Linked DNA regions of Anolis sagrei. The protein of the gene in region 3 purifies or fractionates together with the protein of the main gene of each other region. This does not show direct contact. Links are inferred from orthologs where the notes say so. Each region holds a gene or a part of one and is shown on either strand. Other genes may lie near its edges. The genes, in order: CDIN1, NASP, ASF1A and CHAF1A.

Evidence for each region.
Region 1: the proteins of ASF1A (region 3) and CDIN1 purify together in Homo sapiens (affinity purification with mass spectrometry; 3 studies listed by BioGRID and IntAct, counting the BioPlex papers as one, with this or other methods). This does not show direct contact. The link is inferred for Anolis sagrei from reciprocal best matches to the Homo sapiens genes ASF1A and CDIN1.
Region 2: the proteins of ASF1A (region 3) and NASP purify together in Homo sapiens (affinity purification with mass spectrometry; 6 studies listed by BioGRID and IntAct, counting the BioPlex papers as one, with this or other methods). This does not show direct contact. The link is inferred for Anolis sagrei from reciprocal best matches to the Homo sapiens genes ASF1A and NASP.
Region 4: the proteins of ASF1A (region 3) and CHAF1A purify together in Homo sapiens (affinity purification with western blotting; 3 studies listed by BioGRID and IntAct, with this or other methods). This does not show direct contact. The link is inferred for Anolis sagrei from reciprocal best matches to the Homo sapiens genes ASF1A and CHAF1A.

The regions. Positions count from the first base shown.
Region 1 is NC_090021.1:293,736,380-293,744,343, forward strand, and holds the start of CDIN1 (CDAN1-interacting nuclease 1), read right to left. Parts: upstream 3,005-7,964; 5' UTR 2,729-3,004; coding exon 2,628-2,728; intron 1-2,627. UniProt on the Homo sapiens protein: Plays a role in erythroid cell differentiation.
Region 2 is NC_090024.1:180,327,166-180,334,730, reverse strand, and holds the start of NASP (nuclear autoantigenic sperm protein), read right to left. Parts: upstream 3,003-7,565; 5' UTR 2,832-3,002; intron 2,393-2,831; exon of another isoform or gene 2,294-2,392; intron 967-2,293; 5' UTR 960-966; coding exon 910-959; intron 623-909; coding exon 512-622; intron 1-511. Other genes in the region: AKR1A1 (aldo-keto reductase family 1 member A1), read right to left, coding at 6,515-6,580. UniProt on the Homo sapiens protein: Component of the histone chaperone network. Binds and stabilizes histone H3-H4 not bound to chromatin to maintain a soluble reservoir and modulate degradation by chaperone-mediated autophagy.
Region 3 is NC_090021.1:88,891,208-88,898,988, forward strand, and holds the start of ASF1A (histone chaperone ASF1A), read right to left. Parts: upstream 3,002-7,781; 5' UTR 2,696-3,001; coding exon 2,587-2,695; intron 1-2,586. Other genes in the region: DNA helicase MCM9, read left to right, coding at 7,114-7,288. UniProt on the Homo sapiens protein: Histone chaperone that facilitates histone deposition and histone exchange and removal during nucleosome assembly and disassembly.
Region 4 is NC_090034.1:56,230,612-56,237,792, forward strand, and holds the start of CHAF1A (chromatin assembly factor 1 subunit A), read left to right. Parts: upstream 1-4,169; 5' UTR 4,170-4,431; exon of another isoform or gene 4,432-4,524; intron 4,525-7,181. UniProt on the Homo sapiens protein: Acts as a component of the histone chaperone complex chromatin assembly factor 1 (CAF-1), which assembles histone octamers onto DNA during replication and repair.

The DNA.
Region 1 (7,964 bases), about 200 Mb from region 3:
GACCAAAAGGAAGGAGGAAGTCCTGACGGCTCTTCGTCAATCAGGATAAAGCAATAGCACCCCCTGGACTCAAGCCCAACCTTCTGTGGCACCAAAAACAGCTGAAACAAACCACCTCCTTCTGTTCTGTTCTGTTCTGTCTGTCTGTGTATTGTCTATACCAGGGGTCCTCAAACTTTTTAAACAGAGGGCCAGGTCACAGTCCCTCAAACTGTTGGAGGGCCAGATTATAATTTGGGGGGAAAAAAGAACTAATTCCTATGCACACTGCAAATATCTTATTTGTAGTACAGTAACAATTAAAAACAATACAATAATTAAAATGAAGAACAATTTTAACAAATATAAACTTATTAGTATTTCAGTAGGAAGTGTGGGCCTGCTTTTGGCTGATGAGATAGGATTGTTGTTGTTGTGTGCTTTCAAATCATTTCAGATTTAGGTTGACCCTGACTGAGGGCTGGGTAAATGACCTTGGAGGGCCGTATGGGAAGTGTGGCCTGCTTTTGGCTCATGATATAGGATTGTTGTTGTTGTGTGCTTTCAAGTCGTTTCAGACTTAGGTTGACCCTGAGCAAGGGCCGCGTAAATGACTTTGGAGGGCCGTATCCGGCCCTCGGGCCTTAGTTTGAGGATCTCTGGTTTAGGGTAAGGGTTTAGGCTTATGGTACAGTTCAAGGTTAGGGTTTCACCATTAAAGAACTCTTACATTCCTTCTATATTATCTGTCTCCAGCCTGGCTTACATTAGCTGAGTCTCTCTTGCGCAAACAGCGCTCTCGAAGGAGTGATGTGGCATCTCAGTAATGATCGGAGCTTCCAGACCCAGCTATCATACTATTACCGGTAGTATATTATATACTACAAGTATATTATAAGTACACTACAAGTACACTACAAGTATATTATACTATTAGTATTATACTTTATATTAGGTAAAGGTTGTCCGTAGACATCTCCAAGGTCATGTGGTCGGCATGACTGCATGGAGTGCCATTACCTTCCTGCTGGAGCAGTACCTATTGATCTACTCACATTTGCATGTTTTCGAACTGCTAGGTTCGCAGAAACTGGGGCTGATAGCGGAAGCTCACGCTGCTCCCTGGATTCGAACCTATGACCTTTCGGTCTACAAGCTCAGCAGCTCAGCGTTTTAACCCACTGCGCCACCGGGGGCTCCCCATACTTTACATTATATTTATTCTAGATTTATTATATGTTATATAATAGCTTTAGCTGCCTGTGGAAGTTGTAGTTTTACAAGATCCTTGAAGTTGTGGGGGTTTCTTTGTTATGCATTGTTTATTTTACAGCAGATACATAGTATTCAATACAGCCTACCATAATTTAACTTTTGGCATCTACTGGTTATTTTTATGCTTATACGTATTATCTATCTCTCACCACAAGAAGCACTGTCTGAACATTAAGCAAAAAGTGGGCGCTAGAAACAAAACATACGAAAGCTGACTAGCACAAACTGGGGATCACAACCATACACAGTGAAGACATTTGCCCTTGCGCTATGCTACTCTGCTGCTGAGTACACATGCCCAGTGTGGAACACACAGTGGATGTGACTCTTAATGAGACATGCCGCATTACCACAGGGTGTCTGCGCCCTACACCACTGGAGAAATTGCACTGCTTAGCCGGTATTGCACCACCTGACATCCGCCGGGAAGTAGCAGCCAATAGTGAAAGGACCAAGGCAGTGACATCTCCAGCTCATCTCTTGTTTGGGTATCAGCCAGCACGTCAACGACTTAAATCAAGACATAGTTTTCTTAGATCTACAGAGACACACGCTGGAACACCTCAGCAAGCGAGAGTCCAAAAGTGGCAGGCCCAAACCCAGCACCTCAATCCGTGGGTGATACCAGATGAGAGACTCCCCCCTGGGCACACAGAGGATTGGGCGACTTGGAAGGCGCTGAACATACTACGCTCTGGCATCACGAGATGCAGAGCCAATCTCAAGAAATGGGGCTACAAAGTTGAATCCATGACATGCAAGTGTGGAGAAGAGCAAACCACTGACCACCTGCTGTAATGCAACCTGAGCCCTGCCACGTGCATGATGGAGGACCTTCTTGCAGCAACACCAGAGGCACTCCAAGTGGCCAGATACTGGTCAAAGGACATTTAACCAACTACCAAGTTTGCAAAATTTGGTGTTTTTGGGGTTTTTTTGTTTTGTTTTTTTTTAATCTGTTTGTTTGTTTTTTTCTGTTAGAAATGTAACACAATGGTCTGGTTGCTGATGACACGATAAATAAAATAAATACCACTGTGCTCCCCTCCCTCCTCCCTTGAAGTTGTAGTTTTACAAGATCCTTGCCGAAGAATGCTTGTGCCCCACCAAACTACAAATCCCAGGCAGTTCAAAGTGGAGTCCAACTGCATGGATTCTACTGTGCAGATGCACCCCTTTCCTTGTCCTATTCGCCGTCTCTTCTGCATCCTAGGCCTTGAATTGCACTCACTTCGTGATAGCCAGACACACCAAAGCAGGCCCCCTCCACCCTCGAAAGCAGCTGTCTGGGCCTCTTCCTGGAAGGAAGGAGGGAGAGCGAGAAAGGGGGCGGGGAGCAGAAAGGGGCGGAGCCACCACCGCGGCCCACTCACCTGGGGAAGCGGGCCTTCAGCTGCTTCAGGCTCTGCCTGGTGGGGGCCACCTGGGCCAGGAAGAGGGCCACCTCTCCGTACTGGGCTTTGCTCAGCGGCATGCCTGCCTGCCTGCCTGCCTCCCACAAGCAGAGCGCAGCACACAGGGAAGCACCAAAGGGCAGACAAGGACTACTTTCTTCCCTTCCCCCGCTGCTTGCTTCCCGGCATACAGCCCTCGATGGCTCGGCCTAAGGAGCGGGGCAAAGCCTAGGCAGCCAAGACATGCCTGTTTCGAAAAAGGGCCTTGGCTCTCGGCTTCCCGCCCGCAGAAGGGCAGAAACCAGCGCCGCTCATGCGCTGCTCGGCGGCTCCGCCTTCGCCGTCGCGGAGGAAACGAAAGCGACGCTTTGGGCGGGAAAAGTCTCTCTCAACTGGAATGAATGGAAAGGAATGGCGGGGGCGGGCTTTTCGCCTCGCTTCCTTCAGCAACCCAAAGTGTCCTCCTCCCCTCTTGCTACGGGACTGTCCCAGCTCCAGTTTCTCTTTCTCCAGTTGGACTGCAACTCCCACCATTCCTAACAGCCAGGCATGGGCCAACTTGGGCCTTCCAGGTGTTTTGAACTGCAACTCCCACCGTTCCCAACAGCCAAGCATGGGCCAACTTGGGCCTTCCAGGTGTTTTGGACTGCAACTCCCACCGTTCCCAACAGCCAAGCCAACTTGGGCCTTCCAGGTGTTTTGGACTGCAACTCCCACCGTTCCCAACAGCCAAGCATGGGCCAACTTGGGCCTTCCAGGTGTTTTGGACTGCAACTCCCACCATTCCCAACAGCCAGGCATGGGCCAACTTGGGCCTTCCAGGTGTTTTGGACTGCAACTCCCACCATTCCTAACAGCCAGGCATGGGCCAACTTGGGCTTTCCAGGTGTTTTGGACTGCAACTCCCACCATTCCCAACAACCAGGCATGGGCCAACTTGGGCCTTCCAGGTGTTTTGGACTGCAACTCCCACCATTCCTAACAGCCAGGCATGGGACAACTTGGGCCTTCCAGGTATTTTGGACTGCAACTCCCACCATTCCCAACAGCCAAGCATGGGCTAACTTGGGCCTTCCCGGTATTTTGGACTGAGACTCCCACCATTCCCCGTAGCCATGCATGGTCAAACTTGGGCCTTCCAGGTATTTTGGACTGCAACTCCCACCATTCATAACAGCCAGGCATGGGGGGGGGGGGAGGAAGAGGCCTGACGTTGTTAGGAATGGTGGGAGTTGAAGTCCAAAATACCTAGAAGGCCCAAGTTTGACCATGCCTGATCTACACCCACTGAAGTCCTGGGAGTTGTTTGGTGAGGCACCAGCAAACACTCTTTGGCAGAGAAGGCCAGAATTAGTGCTGCGCTGTGGCAAAGTGGCATCAAGGTGCTTTATTTATTTATTTATTTAAAGTATTTATATTCCGCCCTTCTCACCCTGCAGGGGACTCAGGGCAGATACCAATGCAAACATTCAATGCCAACATATATAGACAGACACAGAGGCACTTAACATTCCAGCTTTTCCGGCTTCATGAGGGTATGCTCGATTCCGGCCACAGAGGGAGCTGCCGCTTCAGCACCCGCTTGTGACACCGAGTCCTTTGATGGAGTACTTCCTCATTCTTCTTCACACTGCTGGAAGGTTTTATGGTGTCGTAAATTAGTTAAATTAGCCTCCCTGCATAAAGCGGACCTAAATTTCGTACTTGACAGATGCAACTGTCTTTCAGGCTGCATAGGTCAACAGCAAACTAGACTCTTAATAGTCAGGGGCTTACTCCAACCGGGGCTGGCTTTGGTCATGATTTTGAAACCAGCCCAGGTTAGAGTAAGCTCCTGACCATTAATAGTCTAGTTTGCTGTTGACCTATGCAGCCCGGAAGACAGTTGCAGTAGTGATTTAATGGTCAGTAGTGATTTAATGCAGCTGGCTACTAACTAGCTGCGCCTCAGTCCAGCAATTAATTAATTCTACAGTGCAGAAGTACTCGGAAGTCATCCCAAAGAGTTCCTTTTGAGCAAATTGTTGTTATGTTTTCCCAGACCCCCTTTGCCTTCTCTCTACTTCTTAAAGGTAAAAGTAAAGGTTTTCCCCTGACATTAAGTCTCGTCATGTCCGACTCTTGGGGTAGGGTGGTGTGCTCATCTCCATTTCTAAGCCAAAGAGCCGGTGTTGTCTGTAGACACCTCCAAGATCATGTGGTTGGCATGACTGCATGGAGCGCCATTACCTTTCCGCTAGAACGGTACCTATTGATCTACTCACATTTGCATGTTTTTGAACTGCTAAGTTGGCAGCTGGGGCTAACAGTGGAAACTCATGCCACTCCTTGGATTTGAACCTGCAACCTTTCGGTTAGCAAGTTCAACAGCTCAGTGGTTTACCCACTGTGCCACCGGGGGCTCCTTAACTGTGTGTTTTTTTTAAAGAATCATCATGATTGCAAAGAAAGTGACGGAGGATGGAAACAATGCAGAGGAACTTGAGCTGGAAAATGCAGCCAATCTTCTATATCCACAGATTTTACACCCACAGATTCAACCATCCATGGCTTTGTTAGAAATTACAACCTTCTTCAAGTCTTCTCGAGCAATGTTTAGCTATGATCCTGTTGCTTATTGCTTCCTGTATATATGTTCTGGTATGCAGATTCCTTTTTTTACTCTATAGTTCACGAGAAGTTACAAAAGGGGCTGCAGACCAAATGATCACTATAGCACAGGAATGGGCAAACCTAGCCCTGGTTAGCAGAAGCAGCCCCTTGGACTCTTCCCAGGGCTTCCTCTCTCTCACCATCCTATCCTTCTTTCCTTCTCTCCTTCCTGCCCTCCCTTACATCCCTCTTCCTCTTTCCATCCTTCATTCACTTCCACCCTTTCTCTTTCCTTCCTTTTTGTCTTCTCTTTCCTCCCTCTCTCCCTTTCCTCTTTCTCTTTCCATTCCCTTCCACCCTTTTGTCATTCCTTCCTTCTCTTTCCTTCTTTCCTTCTTTCCTCCCTCCCTCCCTCCCTCCCTTCCTTCTCCTTTCTTCCTCTCTGCCTTCCCTCCCTCTTTCTCCCTCCATTCCCTTCCACCCTTTCGTCCTTCCTTCCCTTTCCTCCCTCCTTTCCTTCTTTCCACCCTTTTGTCCTTCCTTCTCTCTTTCCTCCCTCCTTCCCTCTCTCCCTCTTTCTTCTTCCTGCTTTCCTTCATTCCCATTTGTCTTTCCTTACTCCTCTCCACCTCCTCTCTCCCTCCATTCCCTTCCACCCATCCTTCCTTCCATCCTTCTCTTCCTCCTTTTTTTTTCTCTTTTTCCTTTCTCCTTTCTTTCTGGGGGATGTTTAGCTGGGAGAAGGTAGAGAGCAACAGATAATCTGCGAACCATTAAGGAAGAGGAGGAGGGGAAAACTAATTTTCTGTTGCTGTCTAGAGACCAGGACACAAGGGAGCAAAGGGTTCAAATGGCAGGGAAAGAAATTCGCCTGAAAAGATTAGGAAGAACTTCCTGGAGAGTGGCATAGGCTGCCTCAGAGTGTGGTGGAATCTTCTTCTCTGGAAGCTTTTCCGCATAAGTCTATTGGGAGTTCTTTGATGTGTCTTCCGGCATGGGCAGGGGGTTAGACTGGATGGCCCTTGGCGGTCTCTTCCAATTCTAGGCTTCTGTGATTCTATATCATGAATAGGCAATACGGGGTCTAATAGATATTTATTTTATTTACATCATTTTTACCCCACCCATATCAACCCAAGGGCGACTCAGGGCGGCGAACAATCGGCACAATTCGCTGTCATATATAAAATACATACATCAATAAAATTAAAACATCACATTACAATGTATCTAAAAACATCAAAACATTGAACAATAAAAATGTTTAAACTATGTCATCATGCTCCGTCCTCATTTGTTCCGTCGTCTTAGCCATTCCTAGGTCGTTTTCCAATTCAAGTTTATCTAATTAAGCTGAAGCTCCAAAAGCTTGCTTGAAGAGCCAAGTTTTCAGTTTTTTTTTTTTTTGAAAGGTTAGGAGGAAGGGGGCCGATGTGAAGGGGGCAGGGAGTTCCACAGCCAGGGGGCCACCACAGAGAAGGTCCTGTCTCTCGTTCCCGCCAGATACACTTTTTCTCGCCCATCCACCATCTCATCCTGACCAGTACCAACCCTTTTGGGATCCAAATGTTTCCTGTCTTTCCTTCACTTTCTGCCTCCAAGCCCCCTCCTTCCTGCCCTGCCCACCCCACTCTAGCCTGCCACAAGGTCCCCAAGTTAGAAAGTTTGCCCATGCATACTATAGTTGATTACAGACTACTTCAGACCTCAGATCACACACTTGTTTGCTATTTTGCTGTAAGAGATGTCCTGGCCAGGTGGCACATAGAATTATCTCAAGCATATCTGAAGGTGGATTGATAAGTTTTGTACGTGTGTATGCTGAACACATGAAGGTTGTGAGTATACCAAATAAGCTATTTTTTATCCAAGTCTACTTCATTTTTGTCTGTTGAGCGCATGATATAAAACAAGTTATTTTATGGGAGAGTATTTAGGCGATCCCTCGTTGGACGAGTAAGATGGTCTTCCATCATGGGTTTCCTTGTGGGTCCGCATGTGGCTGTGGAGCCCTATTCTTGCTCTGCATCTTCTTCCGCAGTGAGGGCATTGGTTTCCAGGTGGAAGGCGGTCCCGGTCGGGGTTGGCTTGACGCGCCTTCCTCCTGGCACGTTTCTCTCTTTCACCCTCCACTCGTGCCTCCTCGAATTCTGCAGCACTGCTGGTCACAGCTGACCTCCAGCTGGAGCGCTCAAGGGCCAGGGCCTCCCAGTTCTCAGTGTCTATGCCAGAGTTTTTAAGGTTGGCTTTGAGCCCATCTTTAAATCTCTTTTCCTGTCCACCAACATTCCGTTTTCCGTTCTTGAGTTCGGAGTAGAGCAACTGCTTTGGGAGACGGTGGTCAGGCATCCGGACAACGTGGCCTGTCCAGCGGAGTTGATGTTGGAGGACCATTGCTTCAATGCTGGTGGTCTTTGCTTCCTCCAGCACGCTGACGTTTGTCCGCTTGTCTTCCCAGGAGATTTGCAGGATTTTCCGGAGGCAGCGCTGATGGAATTGTTCCAGGAGCTGCATGTGACGTCTGTAGACAGTCCACGTCTCACAGGCATATAGCAGGGTTGGGAGGACAATAGCTTTATAGACAAGCACCTTAGTATCCCTACGGATGTCCCGGTCCTCAAACACTCTCTGCTTCATTCGGGAAAATGCTGCACTTGCAGAGCTCAGGCGGTGTTGTATTTCGGCGTCGATGTTGACTTTGGTGGAGAGGTGGCTGCCAAGGTA
Region 2 (7,565 bases), on a different chromosome or scaffold from region 3:
GACCCAGCTGCATAGAACTATCAGGAAAAGATGACATATGAATTAGCCATTGGCTACAAGGTGAATTAAGCATAGCAAGGGATATCCCTCATCTGTTCTCTAGTACACATCCTGAACATACTATCAACCTGCCTGCTTTGTTTTACCATCCTAAACATCTCAAGGATGGGTTTATATTTAATAAGCTGCAATACAAATATCTATTTAGAACACACCCCAAACCTCCCTGCAACAGTAAGCAAGAACTAGGCGTTGTTTTGGTGTGTAAAAAAATTAATTATATTTATAAATAATATAATAAAACTTTATTTCTAGACCGCCCTCTCTTCCTGAAAGGACTCAGGATGGTTTACACACAAAAAAGGCAAGCATTCAAGCATTTTCTCGAGGCTCTAATTATTACTCCTGGGAAAAGCAAATTTGTGCTAACAGGGGCTGATAGATATGATGGACACCATGATGCCTACCCAGGCATATTGGTTCTCTGTGACAATCATATCTCATTACTTACAGCAGACTAGCAGCTTCCTGGAATGCGTTCACAGCAGCTGGAATATCTCCCATTACCAGGTTTTTCTGTCCCAAACCAAGTAGCTTCTTGGCTTCTCCATCCACATCCATACTGCAGACATGAAAGCAGATTTCATTAGTACACCACTTTATAGCCATTCTGTGTGCGACTTGAGAGCAACAGCCAAATTAACCACCCACTCATGCCACTGTTTACCACCATCAACTAACACTACCATCAATATTCAGGATTTGTTCTTATGGTAGATCTATCAAATAGAACCAATATTTTCACAGATCAAAAAACCATGATTGACTTTGCTTTAATTATATCTGTCACGCTACCTTTTTTGAATATATACACGATGTATTCCTATGATTATCCAACTGTTATCTCACCTCTCAGTTTTGTCAGCAGACGTGGACGGAGCAGCAGATTCTTCTGCCATTCTGAAACTGAAGATGTGAAATTAGAACAGCTTACACATTATCAACCAGATAGCAGTTAGTTCCATAGCAGTAAATACTGTAGCACTTTCAAATAGAAAATACTTTACAGGCTTGATGATATGATAACCAATTTTTGCATGTACACTAATTATATTTTCTTTTGATATGGAGACACAAAATCATAGAATTGGAAGAGACCGCGTGGGCCATCCAATACAACCCCCTGCCAAGAAGCAGGAAAATCACATTCAAAGCATTCAGATCCAGCCTCTGTTTAAAAGCCTCAAAGAAGGAGCCTCCACTTTACTCCAGGGCAGAGAATTCCACTGCTGAACAGCTCTGATAGGAAGTTCTTCCTAGTGTTCAGGTGGAATCTCCTTTCCTGTAGCTTGAAGCCATTGTTCTGCGTCCTAGTCTCCAGGGCAACAGAAAACAAGCGTGCTCCCTCCTTCTCCCTATGACATGACCATCCTGACCCCTCTCAGCCTTCTCTTCTGAAGACTAAACATGCCCAGCTATTTCAGCTGCTTCTCATAGGGCTTGTAATACTCCATGCATTAGCCCAAATGCATTATGTGCTCAGATTTATAATATATAAGAAGACAGGCAAGTGCCAGATAAATGCAGTTCCTGATTGCTTCAGAGTAAACCTTACTAATACTACATATCTCACACTTTACCACAAACTCTATATTGACTTAATATTGCTATACAATATTTGAAACTGAGTTAAGACAAACTTCACTTAATGTAAGTTTCATTATCTTATAAAATGAGCTTTAGAAATTCAAAGTCTTTCTTTGATTTTTTTTTTTTGCTTGCCTGAGAGTTTTGGTTAACTGTACTCTGTATGTTTGTATATTTATACATGTGTGCACATCCGTATACACACAAATAAAACACATTCAGTGACAGGTACTTATGTGTGTGAATGTGCCTTCAAGTCACCTGTTGAATGGCCACATAATTCCATAGGAAAGGAAAACGTTAGAGGTGGTTTGCCAGTTCCTTTAACTGAAATACAGCTTTTGGTACTCATTGGTGGCCTCCCATCCAAGAACTAACCAAGACTGACCCTGTTTAGCTTTCAAAATCAAACAGGGACTAATTCTTTTAGATATACACAGACACCTATATCAGGCATGGGAAAACTTTGGCCCTCCAGGTTCTTTGGACTTCAGTAGCTGTTAGGAATTGAAGTACAAAACACCTGCTTTATATGCACACCTATACACACGCATCTTACCAAGCCCTACGTTATTAAAACTTATAAGAGCCAGGCTACTTAAAACATATTTGGGAGACATAGAACATAGATTAGAGTCAGGCTCACCCTAGAAACCAAGCAGCTTGGGAAGTTTCCTGAGAGAAAGGGGGAAGAAGTTGCTCACCTCAGCAAACAATAGGCTCGCTTTGCCCCGCCCCCTCTTTCCCCTCAAGAGCCACCTTTTGGCGCCAAATCCCAACCGCCGCTCCTGACTGGCCGAGCCCCTCTACCACGTGACCGCGCTCCCTCCCCTCCGCGGCCCCTCCCCTCGCTTTTCCGCACGCGCCGGCCGAGGGAACCGCTAAACATGGCGCCCAAAAGGCTCGAGCGGGGTCACGTGGCGCCTCGGTTTGCAGGAGAACCGCCCCCCCCGCCCCCAAACACCCAGGGAAAGTGGAACGTACCAAACCACAAAGAGGAGGGGGAGGGTTGCAAATAGAGAATGCAGAGACGCTTAAAGGCGAGGGGGAAAGGATTCCACAATAGAGTGGAGGCGCCTACTTCAGGCTGAAGCGGGAGCAAAGCCAAAAACGCCCCTCTTGAGGAGAAATTCCTTCCCCCATTACGCGAACCAAGTCAAGAGCCCCATTTTTCCTTTTCTTACCTCGTTTCCCCTCAGAGAGACAAAACCTGGCTCGAGCCTCCTCGGGCTTGGAAAAGGACGGCCGACAATAAAAAATTCACCAAGGAAAAAAGGGGACCAAACACGGCAGCAGGCGAATGCAGCCCACCGCCCCTCTGGGTGCTTATATAGGCCCCTGAGGACACGCCCCGGCGGCGCGAGGCACGCTCTCAGCGCCCTGGAACTACCTTTCCCGGCATGCCTCGCGGCCGCCCAGCTCCACCATCGTCCAATCAGAATGCAATTCCAAAGGCATGGAAACCTTTGACAGTAAGAGCCGCATAATCCACGAGGGAGCGCTGGGCATTCCGGGAAACGTAGTCCAATGAGTGAGATTTCCCATCTCAGTGCATCTACAACTGGCATAGGCAAAGTTGGGCCCTCCAGGTGTTTTGGACTCCCAGCATTCCTAACAGCCTCAGGCCCCGTCCTTTCCCCCCTCAGCCGCGTTTCTCTTTCACCCTCCATTCGTGCCTCTTCAAACTCCACAGCACTGCTGGTCACAGCTGACCTCCAACTGGAGCGCTCAAGGGCCAGGGCTTCCCAGTTCTCAGTGTCTATGCCAGAGTTTTTAAGGTTGGCTTTGAGCCCATCTATAAATCTCTTTTCCTGCCCACCAACATTCCGTTTTCCGTTCTTGAGTTCGGAGTAGAGCGACTGCTTTGGGAGACGGTGGTCAAGTATCCGGACAATATGGCCGGTCCAGCGGAATTGATGGTCTTTGCTTCTTCCAGCATGCTGGCATTTGTCCGCCTATCTTCCCAAGAGATTTGCAGGGTTTTCCGGAGGCAGCGCTGATGGAATCATTCCAGTTGCATGTGACGTCTGTAGACAGTCCACGTTTCGCAGGCATATAGCAGGGCTGGGAGGACAATAGCTTTATAACAAGCACCTTGGTATCCCTATAGATGTCCTGGTCCTCAAACACTCTCTACTTCATTCGGAAAAAGGCTGCACTCGCAGAGCTCAGGCGGTGTTGTATTTCAGTGTCAATGTTGACTTTTGTGGAGAGGCGGCTGCCAAGGTAGCGGAAATGGTCGACATTTTCTAATGTTACACCATTAAGCTGGAAGAGCACTTTAATTTTCTCAATGTTCAATGACAGGCCAAGCTTCTCCTATGCTTTTGCAAAGGTGTTTAGAGTGGCTTGTAGGTCTTCTTCTGTATGCGCACAGACAGCCTTGTCATCAGCATACTGGAGTTCTATAATAGATGTTGTTGTAACCTTGGTTTTGGCTTTCAGTCTACTGAGGTTAAATAGCTTGTCATCTGTCTGATAGATGATTTCCACTCCGGTGGGAAGCTTCCCATCAACAAGGTGAAGTATCATAGCGATGAAGATGGAAAATAAAGTTGGGGCAATAACACATCCGTTTGACATCTTAAGTGGGTCACTTTGGGAACCATTGCTGTCCAAGACTGTTGCCATCATGTCATCATACCATTGATCTTCGTTGAAAAGACCAGTAATGCATCTGAATTTACCATTTACCACAGCAAATGATTATTTGATCCTATTTTTATAATAGGATGTCACTACCATGACCTCATAACCTCTGAGGATTTTTTTCCCATGTCAGGAGCGACTTGAGAAACTGCAAGTCACTTCTTGTGTGAGAGAATTGGCCGTGTGTAAGGACGTTGCACAGGGAATGCCCGGATGTTTTGATGTTTTACCATCCTTGTGGGAGGCTTCTCTCAGGTCCCCGCATGGGAAGCTGACAGGGAGCTCAACCTGGAGTCAAACCTCCAACCTGTTGGTCTTCAGTCCTACCGGCACAAGGGTTTAACTTATTGTGCCACCGAAGGCTCACCTCTGAGGATGCCTGCCATAGATGTGAGCGAAACGTCTGGAGAAAATGCTTCTAGAACATGACCATAGAGTCTGGAAAACTCACGGCAACCCAGTTATTCTAACCATGAAAGCCTTCGACAACACAATCTAAGAGTTAAAGGTTGTGAGTGTGTTCCTGAGTCATAGTTTAGCGAAATGAAATTGAATTAACAAGAAGCTAGACTAAATGAAATTAAACCCAATGGGCCTGCCCTACCAAGCCATCAAAAGAACACTTATTAGGTTACATCTAAATTGTGAAACTGATGCATGTTGACACCACTTTAACTGTCACCAGGCCCGTAGGCAAGATTTTGTTTTGGGGGGGAGGGGGGGGCTAAAAAATTTCTGGGGGGTTTCGGGGGAGGGCTGAGTTTGGGGGGGGGCTGAGTGAAAGAGGGTCTAGGCTAGCAAACCTTTTGTATCATTACCCCAATACCCCCATGCATATGGGATATACTGAGTATGCTGATCAGATCATGATATGAATAAACATAACAGTTTAAATAATGCACCAGTAAGGCCTTTTCGCGAACCACCATGAGAATTTCGGGGGGGGGGGGGGGGGCTGAAGCCCCTCAAGCCCCCCCCCCCCCCCGGCTACATGCCTGCATGACACAATACTATGGAATCATGAGACTCGTAGTTTTCCTAGGTTTGTAGCCTTCTCTGGTGCGTTCCTTAACTTTAACTTCCAGGATTCCATAACATTGGGCCATGGTGGTTAAAAGTGGCCTCAAACTGAATTAATTCTACAGTGTGGATGCACCCTTAATTCTTCCTATAACTCAGGCATGAGCAAACTTTGACCCTCCAGGTATTTTGAACTTCAACTCTCACAAATCATAACAGCCAATAGGCTGTTAGGAATTGTGGGAGTTGAAGTCCAAAAAAACTGGAGGGCCAAAGTTTGCCCATGCCTGGGCTATAGGCCATCTAAGGCTCACACTAGAGTGCACTGCATACAGGATTTTAACCAAATTGTATTGTAAAGAGGTGGTTCTTTAAAAACCACATCATTTATGAGCATTTTCTAATATATACAAAATGATATTTATTTGCTGAAAAGGAAAACTTTCATTTTAAGCTAATACTTTACATAAGAATCCTTGTAATACAGAAGAAATATAAAGATGACAATTTTAAACTTTCAGAACAAAAGGTTACAGTGTCCAGTTCAGATGTTATCATGATTTCCAAAGGATACTGGATATTTCCGATTTAGTAAAACTGGTCAAATAGATCAATTACAGTTATACTGAACTTCACCATCCATCCAATTAATGTATAACACAATCCATGTAAAAAAGGAGAAAGATATGCTACTAAATTATTGAGATATCAAAATACTGTGTTGGAGGATAAATTCCCATCCACCCACAAAGGCAACAATAATATGAGACATCTCTTTTAACTACACTCCTACAAACCGGTTTGCACTACTGAACACATACATATTAATGATAACATTAACACTGCTAAGCATAGCTTTGTAATTCTGAATGAAGGCAGAAGTGCAAACTTGTGGTGCATTTTCATTTTAAAATGCTTTCACGGTACACCTTCAACAATTTATTCCTTTTCCTTGCATTGAGCCTGTATTTCTAATGGGGATCATGGTCAACTTTGTAAAGAAAGATCAAGGCAGGTTAGTACACTCAGGAGTCTCACATACAGGCTCTCTGATTTCTTTTGAACATGTGTTAATTAATAAAGGTAAATATACATTCTTAAAGAAACACAACATTTTATTTTGATTTTTGAAAGTCTAATATCAGATTGAAGTGGCAGTCTTCAACGTAGTTTCCTTCAGTGCTGTAAACTACTGGAATCAATATGGTTCATTGAAGGGATAGAGAGGATGTCCAGCATCCCTTGCTATTAGTTTTCCCTCCACCTGTGAAAGACAAGGAAAGAAAAATAAATGGCATTTCTTAGTGTACCTAATTACTAAACTCAGTCATGTACTTCTACCAATTTCTAAAAGTGACCCTCTGAGTTAAATCAGCAGGGCAAAAAAACAAAACAAAATGGCATTTTAAGTATTGTTTACACCTCTAATGAAGCAACACGGTGGTCAGTTTGGAACTTTAAAAAAAACGCAAACACAAAACTTGAACTTGGAAGGAAGAATCTAATGAAAAGGGAAGACGTTTTGAACATGGAAAGCAGCTCAATACTTTTTTGGAAAGCCATTTAATGCTTGAAAAGACAGAGCTGATAGTATACTTTGCTTCTGTATCCCAAGAGCCACTAGGGGGCACACAATACTAATAATACAACTATTTTCATCTCACTGTATTCATAATAAAGCTACCTTTTGAAATAGTGGGCAAACAAAAAGCTCCCAAATTTTTCAGGACCAGTAAAGCATCTGTTTTTACCATTTACGGCAGCAAAGGATTATTTGGTCCCATTTTCACAATAGGATGTCACTACCATGCATATCCTCTTCCTTTATCCAGAACAAGTCATGTTTTAGCCATTTCAAAGCATTTTGCACAACTCCGTATTTGAAAGCCTTTCTAACAAGCAAGAGGTGTTTATGCTTTGTTACATGAACAAAACACAGCTGAAGAAATGGTGGCTGCTGCATTTCTTTCCTCCACTCTCAGCACCATTTAACAGACAACGTCTGAAAATAACAGTATGTGCATACATACTGGAGCTGTCCATTTTTAAAGCAATATATCACATGAATTGGTCTGATTCCACATTATATAAAATCAGTCATCTCTGAGGTAAACAACTTTGAGATTTTGAGACTCTGACTTTTCCTTGCATCTTATGTAAAGCACAAAAACAGCTTTGAACCGATTTCATGTTTTTCAACACATAAAAACACATAAAAATTAAATCAAAAGCCCCATTCCTGCTACCTA
Region 3 (7,781 bases):
TACAACTCACAAGTTTCCACAGCATTGAGCCATGGAAGTATGTGTGCCTGTGAATAAGCATGTCTCTGTATGTGTGTGTCCACATGTCTGCAAGTAAGTCTGTGTCCACATGTCTGCACGTAAGTCTGTGTCTGCATATCTAAGTTTGTGTCAGTATGTGTGCCTGTATATGTGCCTGCTAGTATCTGCATGTAAGTGTATGTGTGAGTGTTTAGATGTCTGTGTGTGTGTATTTGTATCTGTATATGTGTCAGTGCTTATTGCTACGTGTTTGCATGTAAATGTTTGTTAATGTAAGTGTCTGTATAAGTGTGTTTGTTTCTGTATAAGTGTGTTTGTATACCTTAAATGTGTCTGTGTAAGTGTGTCTCTGTGTGTTTGCATGTGTCTGTGTATGTGTCAGCGTTTCTCTGCATAAGTGTTTCTGTGTGCAAATGTTTGTGTGTCAATGTATCCGTGTAAGTGTTTGTAACTGTGTTTGTATATATAAATGTGTGTGTGTGTAAGAGTATGTGTCCATGTATACATGTGATTGTATGTAAGAGTGCATGTGTCAATGTGTGTGTATTTGTCTCTGCATGTCTGTCAGTGTGTCTCTGCATAAGTGTTTCTGTGCAAATGTGTGTTAGTGTAAGTATACATGTGTCTGTGTAACTGTTTGTAACTGCATATATAAATGTGTGTCTGTATTAACAGTGTGTGTCCATATATAAGTATGTTTGCATGCAAGCGTATGTGTGTTTGTGTGTAGTTGGGTCTGTTTGTTAGTCAGTATTTCTCTGCATAAATGTTTCTGTGTGCAAATATGTTACCATGTCCGCATAAATGTCTGTGTAACTATTGTGTGTGTGTGTGTATAAAAGTGTGCTTGCATATATAAACATGTGTCTGTACAAGTGTGCGTCCATGTATAAACGTGTTTGTGTGTAAGCATATATCTGTATTTGTGCCTTGTGTATTTGTCTCTGCATGTTTCTGTGTGCAAATGTATTTTTGTGTCTCTATAACTAAGTGTGTTTGTGTACAAGTGTGTTTGCATGTCTGTAAGTGTATTTGTGTTCTAGTGTTTGCATGCAAGCATGTGTGCTTGTGTCAGTGTTTTCTCTGCATAAGTGTTTCTGTGTGCAAATGTGTTATTGTGTGCCTCCATAACTATGTTTGTGTACAAGTGTGTTTGCACGTCTATAAGTGTGTCTGTGTTTTAGTGTTTGTGTCAAGTGTTTGTGTCTGCGTAAGTGTTCCTGTGTGCAAATGTATTCTTGTGTGTCTCTATAACCAAATGTATGTTTATGTACGTGTTTGCATGTCTATAAGTGTGTCTGTGTTTATTTATTTATTTACCATGTTTATATACTGCCTTTCTCAACCTGAAGGTGACCCAGGGCGGTTTACAAACGGCACAATTCTGTGTTCTACTGTTTGCGTGTAAATGTGTGGTTGTTTCAGTGTTTGTCTCTACGTGTTTCTGTGTCCAAATGTGTTATCATGTGTCTCTATAACTGTGTGTTTGTGTACAAGTGTTTGCATGTCTATAAGTGTGTCTGTGTTCTAGTGTTTGCATGTAAGCATGTGTTTGTCTCTGTGTAAGTGCTTATGTATGCAAAAACACAGTGTATGTTTGTGTACAAGAATGTTTGCATGCCTATAAGCGTGCCTGTGTTCTACTGTTTGCTTGTTTGTGTCAGTGTTTGTCTCTGCGTAAGTGTTTGTGTGTAAATGTGTTATTGTGTGTCTCCATAACTGTGTTTGTGTATAACTGTGTTTGCATGTCTATAAGTGTGTCAGTGTTCTAGTGTTTGCATGTAAGCCTGTGTTTGTGTCAGTGTTTGTCTCTGTGTGTTACTGTGTGCCAAAAAAAGTGTGTTTGTGTACAAGTGTGTTTGCATGTCTATTAAGTGAGCTTGTGTTCTACTGTTTTCTTGTTTGTGTCAGTGTTTGTCTCTGCATAAGCAAATGTGTTATTGTGTGTCTCTATTGCTATGTTTGTGTACAAGTGTGTTTGCATGTGTATAAGTGTGTGTGTCGTAGTGTTTGTGTCAGTGTTTGTCTTTGCATAAGTGTTTCGGTGTGTGAATGTGTGGGTATGCCTCTCTATAAGTGTCTGTGTAACTGTTTATGTGTATAACTTCAGTGTGTGTATATATATAGAAGTCTATAAGCGTGTGCCTGTGTGTGCAAAGAGCCTAGACCCCTGCAATCCCACTCTAAGGCTACCCAACATGGTTGCTCCCAGCAGTGTTTGTGTGTGCAAAGGTGTTACTGTATGTCTCCATAAATATGTTTGTGTACAAGTGTTTGCCTGTGTCTGTGTTCTAGTGTTTGTCTCTGCATAAGTGTTTCTCTGTGCAATTGTGTGAGCATGCCTCTCTATAAGTGTCTGTACAACTGTTTATGTGTATAACTTCAGTGTGTGTGTAGAAGTCTATAGGCGTGTTCCTGTGTGTGCAATGAGCTTCCCCGCCCTAGGGCTGCCCAACATGGCTGCTCCCAGCCTTGGCCCAACAAGTGCCTCCCAACTTGAGTGCTGTCTTTGTGCCTTTCTTTCTCCCTTCTCTCCCTCCTCTCTCTCCCTTTGCAGCCCTTCACCTTCGGAGAGGTCCTCGATGCACTCGAAGGTGATCTCGAACTGGAAGGGGTTGTAGAAGGGCGAGGGGTTGTCCAGCACCACCACGTTGTTCACTTGCACCTTGGCCATGGCCCCTCCTCCTCCTCCTCCTCCTCCAAAGAGGGCCCCGGGGCCCCAGCCAGCCAGCCAGCCAGCCAGGAGTTGGGGAAACTTTCCCAGGGAGTGAGCCCGCTCCTAATCCGCTTTGTCTCCTTCCCTTGCCAAGCCACGCTCCCCCAGTTGGTTCCCTCGCAGGGAGCTCTTTCCTCTCTCTCGCTTTTTCCCTCGCTCGCTCGCTCGCTCGCCTCTTTGCGCCGCTCTTCCTTCCCCGGGCGGGCCCACTCCGCGCGTGGAAACGGGCTTGCGGAGGCGCGGATTGGCTGCTCCCGCCGCGAGGCCGCTCCTTCCCGGGCCCAGCAAGAAGGGCGCCCGGCTTGGAAGCAGAGCCAAGCATCGCCTGGCGCTCCACCTGCCGGAGAAGCAGCCGAGGGAGACAAGGGAGCTGCCTCCTCTTGACCAAGGCTTCCCGGGTTCAGTGCCCAACATCCCACGCCATCCAGACTGCAGCCAGGGCCCTTCCACGCCGCCCTATATCTCGGAAATCCCACAATATTTGCTCAGAACTACAAGAAAGGAGATTCCATCTGAACGTTAGGAAGAACTTCCTGACTGTGAGAACTGTTCAGCGGTGGAACTCTCTGCCCCGGAGTGTGGTGGAGGCTCCTTCTTTGGAAGCTTTTGAACAGAGGCTGGATGGCCATCTCGCGGGGTTACTTTGAATGCAACTTTCCTGCTTCTTGGAAGAATGGAGTTGGACTGGATGGCCCACGAGGTCTCTTCCAACTCTAGGATTTTATGATTCTAAGTCCACACTCAGATAATGTGGGAATTTCTGCCTCCATATTCTGAAGTTATGTGGAAGAGCCTCCAGCCTACACCAGGCATGGGCAAACTTTGGCCTTCCTCCAGGTGTTTTGGACTTCAACTCCCACAATTCCTAACAGCTGGTAGGGAGTTGAAGTCCAAAACACCTGGAGGAAGGCCAAAGTTTGCCCATGCCTACAATCCTAGAGACCACCCAGTCCAACCCCCTGCCAAGAAACAGGAAAATCACATTTAAAGCACCCCTGACAGATGGCCATCCAACCTCTGTTTAAAAGCCTCCAAAGAAGGAGCCTCCACCACATTCAGGGCCAGAGAGTTCCACTGCTGAACAGCTCTCACAGTCAGGAAGTTCTTCTTCATGTTAAGATGGAATCTACTTTCCTGTAGTTTGAAGCCATTGTTCCGCATCCCAGTCTCCAGGGCAGCAGAAAACAAACTTGCTCCCTCCTCCCTATGACTTCTCCTCACATATTTATACATGGCCTTCATGTCTCCTCTCAGCCTTCTCTTCTGCAAGCTAAACATGCCCAGCTCTTTAAGCTGCTCCTCATAGGGCTTGTTCTCCAGAACTTTGATCATTTTAGTCACCTGTCCTACACTGCTATTTCCTGATGAATATGAGGCTGGCTTATAATGATTTGACTTTCTGGACAATTTATCTCTATGTTTCCTAGTCAGTGCTTGTTCAGCATGTGAATTATGACTGTATTGTGAAGTAGCGTCTGATTATTCACTTGTGTGGCTTATGGAGTATTTATTACTCATTTGCTATTCATTATCTGAGTCGTGGGACATGGCACTCAGTGTTCTTGGTTATTTGATCGTGGTATTGTCTTGGTTGTGTGGGGGAAGTACACTCCAGTTCTGTTGTTCTGTTGGCAGCCCGTGGGTGAATCACTAAAGCAGTGGTTCACCTTGCAAGCCTCCGGTTCTCATCTCAACAGCTGGTAAACTGGCTGGGTTGAGAACCAGTGCATTCAAGGCTTTAATGCAAAGATAATGGTAATTTCTGAGCCGAAGAGCTGGCGTTGTCCGTAGACACCTCCTAGATCATGTGGCCAGCATGATTGCATGCAACACCATTACCTTCCCACATAAGTGGGACCTATTGATCTACTCACATTTGCATGTTTCAAACTGCTATTGGCAGAAGCTGGGGCTAACAATGGGAGCTCAGCCCGCTCCCCAGATTTGAAACGCCAACCTTTCTGTCAGCAAGTTCTTCAGCTCAGCAGTTTAACCCGCTGCAGCTCCCTTTCAAATGACATTTATGATTTCAAGGACAAGCAGTCTGCTGAAATGTGTGTGGAGGGAGAGGGATGGATAAGGAAACAGAATTGGTTATCTAATACTGCAAGGATCCAAACTCATATAAATACATTTCAATTCAGTCTCAGCATGATATTTTATCAGTGGGTTAAACCCTTGTGCCGGCAGGACTGAAGACCGACAAGTCGGAGGTCCAAATCTGGGGAGAGCGTGTATGAGCTCCTTCTGTCTGCTTCAGCTTCTCATGCGGGGACATAAGAGAAGCCTCCCACAAGGATGGTAAAAACATCAAAACATCTGGGCATCCCCTGGGCAACGTCCTTGCAGATGGCCAATTCTCACACTATATGCGACTTGAAGTTTCTCAAGTCACTGCTGACGGATTATTTTTAATCAATTGTGACCCTGCATTACATACATAAACAGGCTCGTGGATAACCAACATTGGTTGGTTGCTAAGGGCAAAAATGTCAGTTATGTCCATAAAAGGGAAAACAGTAGCTGCAAATCAGTTTCATTTTCAGCATATTGCAGTTTGGAGAGGGTGCACCAACACTATAGAATCAATGCAGTGTGGCACCACTAAGTGCCATGGCTCAGAGCTATGAATCAGGCATTCCTTGAAGAATTTTATACGGTTTGGTGCACTGTTGGATCCCCAAGCAGTAGACCCGGGGATCCCCATGCCTGAAGGGCCACACCACAAATTGTTTTTATCCCTCCATTGTGCCAGTGGCCCGCAGCCATCTTTCAGGCTGCCCAATTGCACCCTTATCTAGAGGAAACGTTCGCAACGTAGTCTTCCTAGTACATTGGACTACAACTCCCTCATTCTGTAACTGGATCATTGCCAGGAGTTTCTTGTTTCTGTTCACCTATATTCAGTAACTCTGTCATATTCATGAGTTCTAAGACCATAAGATCTTTTACACTAAGCAACTAATAATAATAACAACAAAAACAAAAACAAGAAGCCAGTAAAGATGGTCCCAGTGGTGATCAGCACACTGGAGCAGTGCCTAAAGACCTTGGCCTGCACTTAAACACAATTGGCACTGACAAAATTACCAGCTGTAAAAGGCTACCCTACTGGGATCAGCAGGCATTATTTGCCAATACTAGACACTTGGGAATCTGACGTGTGATCCAATACAACAGTCAGCAGAGTGATCTTGTCTGCTGTGGACTCATCTTGTTATGTTTCAAATAATAATAATCATCATCATCATTATCATCATCTTTATTTATATTCCTCTCTATTTCCCTGAGGGTACTCAGGGCAGATTATAGAACACATATACTGCAAATATTCAATGCCGTTATACAGTTAACAAGGACAGACAACACTTAAACAGAGGAAAAGGCTTTCTCATCTTTTTTTTTTTTTTTGCTTCCAGCATCTGGAGGCTGTGCTCAACTCTGGCCACGGGGGGGGGGGGGGGGGGGGGTGTTGTCACTCCATCTTCCACGCCAAAGAGCTTTTGACGTCTATAGGTATCGTCCCAATTGAATCGTCGGCATGTCCTTATGGACCCCTTTTATTACCTTCCGGCTTTAAAGTGGTATCTATTTATCTATTCACATTTCTGTTTCTGATCTGTTAGGTGAGCAGAAGCAGGGGCTGACATCAGGCACTCATCCCAACCCAGGCTTGAACTGCCAACCTTTCGAGCGGCAGGATTTTCTGCAGCTTAGCGGTTTAACCCGCTGTGCTAAGCACTATCATACCACTTTGACTACTGCGGTTCCCTCTTGCGAAATCCTGGGATTTTTCCTTTCAGGGAATGATATTTAAATTTATCAGCCAGTGAGCTCCCCATGACTTCATAGGGTAGAAACTTGGCAGCTGAAATGAAGTTGCTGTTGTTGTTTTGTGTGCTTTCAAGTGATTTCTGTCTTCAGGTGGTCTTAAAATGAACCTATCACAGGGTTTTGTTTGGAAGATTAGTTCAGAAGAGGTTTTCGTCACCTTCCACACAGGCATATAACCCAGAATACCAAGGCAGAAAATCCCACAATATCTGCTTTGAACTGAGATATCTGAGTCCACGCTGACATATATTCCAGTTCCAAGCAGATAATGTGGGATTTTATTCAGCTGTGTGGAAAGGACCTATGAGAGTGACTTGTTCTAGATCACCCAATTGGTTTCATGGCCAAGTGGAAATTTGAGCCATGGTCTCCAGAGTTTTCATTGTACACCACCGTAACTATAATGCAATAATTGTATAGTATGAAAGGTACCTTAACAAGCATTACTCAAAGCTTACTCTTCAGCCAGAGTTGAACACTCACTGTAAAAAAAACAACTTTTCAAATTATTAAAAAAAACATCCCCCCCCCCCCCCCCGAAGGTTTGACGGTCACTGCTGTGAAAGACTCTGGAGAATGGAATTTGGAGGCTGGCGCGTTGGTTCTAGCTGATGGGGGTCTTTGCTGTATTGACGAGTTTAACAGCATCAAAGAACATGACAGAACCAGCATTCATGAGGCCATGGAGCAACAAACAATCAGTGTAGCAAAAGCTGGGTAAGTGTCTGTTTTTCCTTATGTGCTACAAATTAGCATCTGTGCCCTTTGGGTAAGTGTCTGTTTTTCCTTATGTGCTATGAATTAGCATCTGTGCCCCCTTTTTTTCATTTTTGTCTGTTGACACTTTCACTGATATTCCATGTGAACCAGTGTGGTCCATAGTGGCAGCTTAGGCATTCACAGAAGAGAGATGCTTCCCTCCCCTTTCTGCCTCTATTTGAGAACGAAACAAAAGGTGTTTTGAAAAAGGGCCTTGCGATGAATATAGAGTTGAGCAAGTCCAAATTATTAGTTTTGAGGGATCCTTCTCCAGAGGCAGGCACTGTGAGTCAAGGCACTACAAGTGAATGCTAATGACGTGATTCATTACTCCTGATGCTGTGTAGCCCAGGGTGTCCTCTCTCTAGGTCTAAGAAAGGGCTCCTAGGTGAAGACTTTCTAGACCAGTGGTTCTCAACCAGTGGGTTCTCAGGTGTTTTGGCCTACAACT
Region 4 (7,181 bases), on a different chromosome or scaffold from region 3:
AACTCACAAATGTTGTATTTTGTCTGTTTGTTTGCTTTGTTCTGTTAGAAATGTAATATAATTGACTGGTTGCCCTGACATGACAAATAAATAACATAAATAATATTATAAATAATAGCATAAGGTAGGTATGTGGCCAGCATGCCTGCATGGTGCACCCTTACCTTCCTGCCAGAGTTAAACCTATTGATTCACTCACATTTACATGTTTTCGAACTGCTAGGTTTGATTATGGCAACCGGACGGACTGATTACTGGAAAATAGAGGGAGAAAATGTGGAGGCAATGACAAGGTTTGTATTTCTAGGTGCAAAGATTACTGCAGACGCAGACTGCTGCCAGGAAATCCGAAGATGTTTACTTTGTGGGATGAGAGCAATGACCAATCTTGATAAACTAGTGAAGAGTAGAGACATCACACTGGCAACGAAGATCCGCATAGTTAAAGCAATGGTATTCCGCGTAGCCACTTTGGATGGGAGAGCTGGACCATAAGGAAGGCTGAGCAAAGGAAGAGAAACACTTTTGAACTGTGATGCTGGAGGAAAATTCTGAGAGTGCCTTGGACCGTAAGATCAAACCAGTCCATCCTCCAGGGCATAATGCCTGACTGCTCACTGGAGGGAAGGATATTAGAGGCAAAGATGAAGTACTTTGGCCACATGAGAAGACAGGAAAGCTTGGAGATGACAATGATGCTGTGGAAAAAGGAAGGAAAAAGGAAGAGGGTCCGACCAAGAGCAAGATGCATGGTATCCTTGAATATTTGTATTCAATATTTGTATTCAATATTTGTTGATCCAAAAATCTGTATCTCCTGAGGAGAACAAATTCTCAAGTGTATAACCTTGTAAGTAACTTAAATGTTTTGTAACACATGGTGTTTAATGGATATGTTCAACAAATATTGGTGTAATAGCAAGTGTGAAGACTTAACAAATTTCTTTAAGTACATTTTAGTATAAGATGTTCTATATGTATGCAACCGGAGCAAAATATTGATTTATACATTCATTTCAGTCCACCAGAAGAAGGCCTGAGATAGGCCGAAACCGGTCGTGGATGGCTGATCTATAAGCTACTCAACATAAGAAGATATGACATTGATATTATTCTAAAGAGACTGTACCAGAATTTACATAATAGTGTTTGACATCACTGTGAAATTGAACAGTACAACATGTCTATATAACTGCTTGTTGAATTCCATTATTGTTTACTCTATGTATAAGTGGCATTTTTGTTGTATATAGTGGACGGCTGATCTATAAGCTACTCAACATAAGTAGATACGACATTGTTATTATTCTAAAGAGACTGTACCAAAATTTACACAATATTGTTTGACATCACTGTGAAATTGAACAGTACAACATGTCTATATAACTGCTTGTTGAATTCTATTATTGTTTACTCTATGTATAAGTGGTATTTTTGTTATATGTACTTATTCAGGAACCCATTTATATTATATTAGAGATATACATTTGGACAGGTAAGCTGGGCTGGAACCTTTTAGAGCTTTATTGGCTAAAGCCAGCACTTTGAATTGTGCCCAGTAACAAACTGGCAGCCAGTGGAGTTGACGTAACAGAGGGGTTGTATGCTCCTTGAACGCTGCTCCATGAGCAATCTGGCTACTGTCCGTTGGACCATTTGAAGCTTTTGAACAGTCTTCAAAAGCAACGCCACACAGAGCATGTTGCAGTGGTTTTTGAGTTATGCTAATTCCACAAACAAACATTCATTTTTTATTTATATAGACTAGCTGTCTCCTGTCACGCATTGCTGTGGCCCACATGGGGGTTCTGTGTGGGAGGTTTAGCCCAATTCTATCGTTGGTGGGGTTCAGAATGCTCTGTGATTGAAGGTGAACCATAAATCCCAGCAACTACAACTCCCAAATGTCAAGATTCTATTTTCCCCAAACTCCGCCAGTGTTCACATCTGGGCATATTGAGTATTCGTGTTGCTGGGTTGTTGTAGGTTTTTCCAGGCTATATGGCCATGTTCTAGAGGCATTTTCTCCTGACGTTTCACCTGCATCTATGGCAAGCATCCTCAGAGGTAGTGAGGTCTGTTGGAAGTAGGAAAATGGGTTTATATATCTGTGGAATGACCAGGGTGAGACAAAGGACTCTTGTCTGCTGGAGCTAGGTGTGAATGTTTCAACCGACCACCTTGATTAGCATTGAATGGCTTGGAAGTGCCTGGGGGAATCTTTTGCTGAGAGTGATTTGATGTGCCTGATTGTCTACTCTCTGCTGTTTTGCTGTTGTAATTTTTGAGTTTTTAAATACTGGTAGCCAGATTTTGTTCATTTTCATGGTTTCCTCCTTTCTGCTGAAATTGTCCAGATGCTTGTGGATTTCAATGGCTTTTCTGTGTAGCCTGACATGGTGGTTGTTGGAGTGATCCAGCATTTCTGTGTTCTCGAATAATATGCTGTGTCCAGGTTGGTTCATCAGGTGCTCTGCTATGGCTGACTTCTCTGGTTGAAGTAGTCTGCAGTGCCTTTCATGTTCCTTGATTCGTGTTTGGGCAATGCTGCGTTTGGTGGTCCCTATGTAGACTTGTCCACAGCTGCATGGAATACAGTAGACTCCTGCAGAGGTGAGAGGATCCCTCTTGTCCTTTGCTGAACGTAGCATTTGTTGGATTTTCTTGGTGGGTTTGTAGGTGGTTTGTATGTTGTGTATTTGTGTTGCGTTTGGTCCAGATCCATTACTGTTTGAATCCACAGTGATCTCTGGATGTAGGTGAACTACATTATAATTCATTCATTTAATGAGGCGATCCCTCGCTTTCCGAGGAGGATTGTCTTCCAGTATTCTTGTGGGTCCGTATGTGGCTGTGGAGCCCTATTCTTTCTCTGCATCTTCTCCCGCAGTGAGGGCATTGGTTTCCAGGTGGAAGGCGGTTTTGGTTGGGGTTGGCTTGACGCGCCTTCCTCTTGGCACGCTTCTCCCTTTCGCCCTCCATTCGTGCCTCTTCAAATTCTGCAGCACTGCTGGTCACAGCTGACCTCCAGCAGGAGCGGTCAAGGGCCAGGGCTTCCCAGTTCTCAGTGTCTATGCCAGAGTTTTTAAGGTTGGCTTTGAGCCCATCTTTAAATTTCTTTTCCTGTGAACTACAATTCCAGAACCAAAGGACACTGCCCACCAAACCCTTCCAGTATTTTCTGTTGGTCATGGGTTCCGGCCCAAGGTACCTATCCGACCGCATCTCTGCCTATGAACCCACCAGGACTTTGAGATCTTCCGGGGAGACCCTGCTCTCGATCCCGCCTGCTTCTCAAACTCGGCTGGCAGGGACGAGAGATAGGGCCTTCTCGGTGGTGGCTCCTCGGCTGTGGAACACCCTTCCTACGGACCTTAGACTAGCACCATCTCTAATGGTATTCCGCAAAAAAGTGAAGACCTGGCTGTTTGAGCAGGCGTTCGAATAATTAGTGCAATGACTGGTTAATGAACACTGGAATGGAACGATGGATGACGAATCTGGAACATGTTTTTGATGACGAGACGACAGTGAATGGGTATTGTAGTAACTGTTTATGAATTGTGTAATGTGTTAGGTTGTTAACTGTTTCTATACTGTAGCACTGAATTTTTGCTGTTCGTATTTGTTGTGAACCGCTCTGAGTTGCCTTCGGGCTGAGAACAGCGGTATATAAGAAAGGTAAATAAATAAATAAATAAATGGGAGAACTGTGTGCCAAGTTTGGTTCAATTCCATCGTTGGTGGGGTTCAGAGTGCTCTTTGATTGAAGGGGAACTATAAATCCTAGCAACTACAACTCCCAAATGACAAAATCAATTTTTTGAGTGAAGGACATACATTGGGTTGTTAGGTGTCTTGTGTCCAAATTTGGTGTCAATTTGTCCAGTGGTTTTTGAGTTCTGTTAATCCCACAAAACGAGCATTACATTTTTATTTAGATAGAAGGTTTTGGAAGCATTTCGGAGATGCAATCCTTTCTGTTTTTCACGTTTCACTATGTTACACCTCGAGAGAATGAGTTGGAAGGCAAGCGCGCATGCGCACATCCCCTTCGCCTTCCCTCCAGCACTTGTCGCGAGAAGGGCCAGGAGCCGCCAAGAGCCAATCGGGAAAGGAGGGAGGCGGCGCGCGCGTTGGGTTGGTCACGTGCCCCGCGCGTCCCGCCCAATCAGAGCCCTGGAGCGCGAAGGTGGCCCGAACTCCCGCCAAATACAAGCGAGGGAGCCTGGTTGGACGGCGAGCGGGAAGGGTCAGAAGGGGAAGGCTGGCTCAAAGTAAGGCAGAAGACGCGGGGAAAAGCCGGAAAGAAGGACGAAGGAAGGAGAAGGGCTTCCTATGCGGGGAGCGGAAGGCAGGAAGAGCCTGGGCTGCTTCCTCCCGCCTTTTGAGGGGAGAAGCCGGCCAGGAAGGAAGAAAGACCTTGGTGAGGTGAGCTGGGGGAAGAGCGGAAAGAGAGGCCTGGCCTGTTGGAGTAGAAAGACCTGCGGGAAAGGGATCATTATTCAGAACAATACGAATGAAGTGAGTTGCTGTTTTATTGTATGTTACTAGCCGTCTCTAGCCACGCGTTGCTGTGGCCCAGTCTTGTATTCTGGAAAATGATGTAATGAGAAACTGTTGGTTTCTAATGCCTTTATGCTTTGTGAGCAAACAGTATTTTCTGCTGTTTCTTTGTCAGTGTTGATTTGGAGATTGTCTGGTTTGCCTACTCTGGAACATGCAACATATAATTGTCCTTCTTTAGGGGTCCCTTTCAAATCTATGATACTATTTCTATCATATACTTATATATATGTGTGTGTGTGTGTGGATTATATAGATCTATCTATTTATTTATTTACTTTGCTTGTATACCGCAATTTCTCAGCCTTGTAGGTGACTCAACGCGGTTTACAACAAGAGCAAAAGTCAATCCAACAGCATACAAAGTTTAAAAACCATTAACAGCATAATATACAAAATGACACATCAATAACAACACATTAATGTCTCGTAACTAGAATCGTGATCCAATTTGTCTTCCATAATTCCGTTTCCTATATTCATCGTGTACATTGCATTGTTTAACCGAACGCCTGTTCGAACAGCCAGGTTTTTAGTTTTCTTCGAAACACCATTAATGAAGGGGCTGATCTAATGTCCATGGGAAGGGCGTTCCACAGCCATCTATGGCTGGATGGCTCTTTGCTTTCTTGCCCTGGTGAAGGGAGTTGGACTGGATGGCCTTAAGGTAGCATTTCTCAACCTGAGGGTCGCGAGAGGGTGTCAGGAGGGTTGCCAAAGACCACCAGAAAACAGTCATGGGGGTTCTCTCTGTGTGTGTGTGGGGGGGGGGGGGGGTGTTCTGTGTGGGAAGTTTGGCCCAATTCTATCATTGATCTTTGGATGTGGGTGAACTACAACTCCAAAACCAAAGGACACTGCCCACCAAACCCTTCCAGTATTTTCTGTTGGTCATGGGAGAACTGTGTGCCAAGTTTGGTTCAATTCTATTGTTGGTGGGTTCAGAATGCTCTTCGATTGTAGGTGAACTATAAATCTCAGTAAGTACAACTCCCAAATGACAAAATCAGGGTTTTTTTGTGTGATGGTAACTCCTTGGGTTAGTAAGTGTCTTGTGGCCAAATTTGGCGGCAATTAGTCCAGCAGTTTTTGAGTTATGATGTCACTCAAAATGAACAGAGCGTTGTATATGTGTGTGTGTGTACTATTACATATTATTTTTATTGTTAAAGTGACTTGTGTATGTGAAGAAGCCTTGTGTGGGATGGGTGCCTGATGGATGTGTTTCCTGAGGGAGATAATTAAGTGGGTAATAAATAATGCATTATTTATCTATTTTACTATTTATTATTATTATTATTTCCTATTCTCATTAAAGTCACTTGTGTGTGAAAAAGAGGCAAGGAAAAAGCCTTGTTTGGGAGGTTTGTCAAATGTGTTTGTGAGGGAGATAATGAGGTGGGTAATAAATCATGTATTGTTTATTAATATTATTATTAGTTTGTACTATTATTGTTATTAAAGTGAGTTGTGTGTATGGTGAAGCCTTGTGTAGGATGTGTGTCTGACTGATGTGTTTGAGGGAGATAATGAGGTGGGTAATAAATACATACAGTAGAGTCTCGCTTATCCAACATAAATGGGCCAGCAGAATGTTGGATATGCAAAAATGTCGGATAATACGGAGGGATTAAGAAAAAGCCTATTAAACGTCAAATTATGTTATGATTTTACAACCTAAGCACCAAAACATCATGTTTTATAACAAATCGACAAAAAGGGAGTTCAATACACAATAATATTATGTAGAAATTACTGTATTTACAAATTTAGCACCAAAACATTGCAGTGTATTGAAACAGCTGTGGATCTGGGCGGGAGACAGACTGCGTTGGATGAGCGAAGGTTGGATAAGGGAGGTTCTACTGTATATTATATATTCTTCTTATTATTAAAGTGACTTGTGTGTATGGAGAAGCCTTGTGTAGGATGTGTACCTGACTGGTGTGTTTTTGAAGGAGATAATGTGGTGGGTAATAAATAGTGTATAATTACTATTATTACTTTTATTAGTAGTTTTTACTATTTTACTATTTATTATCATTATTAAAGTCAGTTGTGTGTATGGAAAAGAGGCTAGGAAAAGCCTTGTATGGGGTGTGTGATGTGTTTGTGAGGGGGATAATAAGATAGGTAATAAATCATGTATTATTATTATTTATTCCAATTATTGTTAATTTTTACTATTGGCTGATGTGCCCGTAAAGGAGGTAATAAGTTGGGTATTATTATTATGTTATTCTTTATTATTACTATTATATATTTATTCTTACTAAAGTGACTCGTGTGTCTGGAGAAGCTTTGTGTAGGATGCCTGTCTGACTGATGCGTTTCCTGAGGGAGATATTGAGGTGGTTAATAAATGTATTATTTAGTATTACTATTACTTAATTTTGTTGTTGCTGTTATTATTATTAAAGTAAATTGTGCTTATGGAAAGAGGTGAGGAAAAAAGGCTTGTGTGGGATGTGTGTCTGATGTGTTTGTGAAGAAAATAATGTGGTGGGTAATAAATAATGTATTATTATTTATTACTATTATAATAAATTTTTAATTATTGTTATTGTTATTATTATTATTATTAAAGTGGAGGAAAGCCTCAACGTTTTAATCAT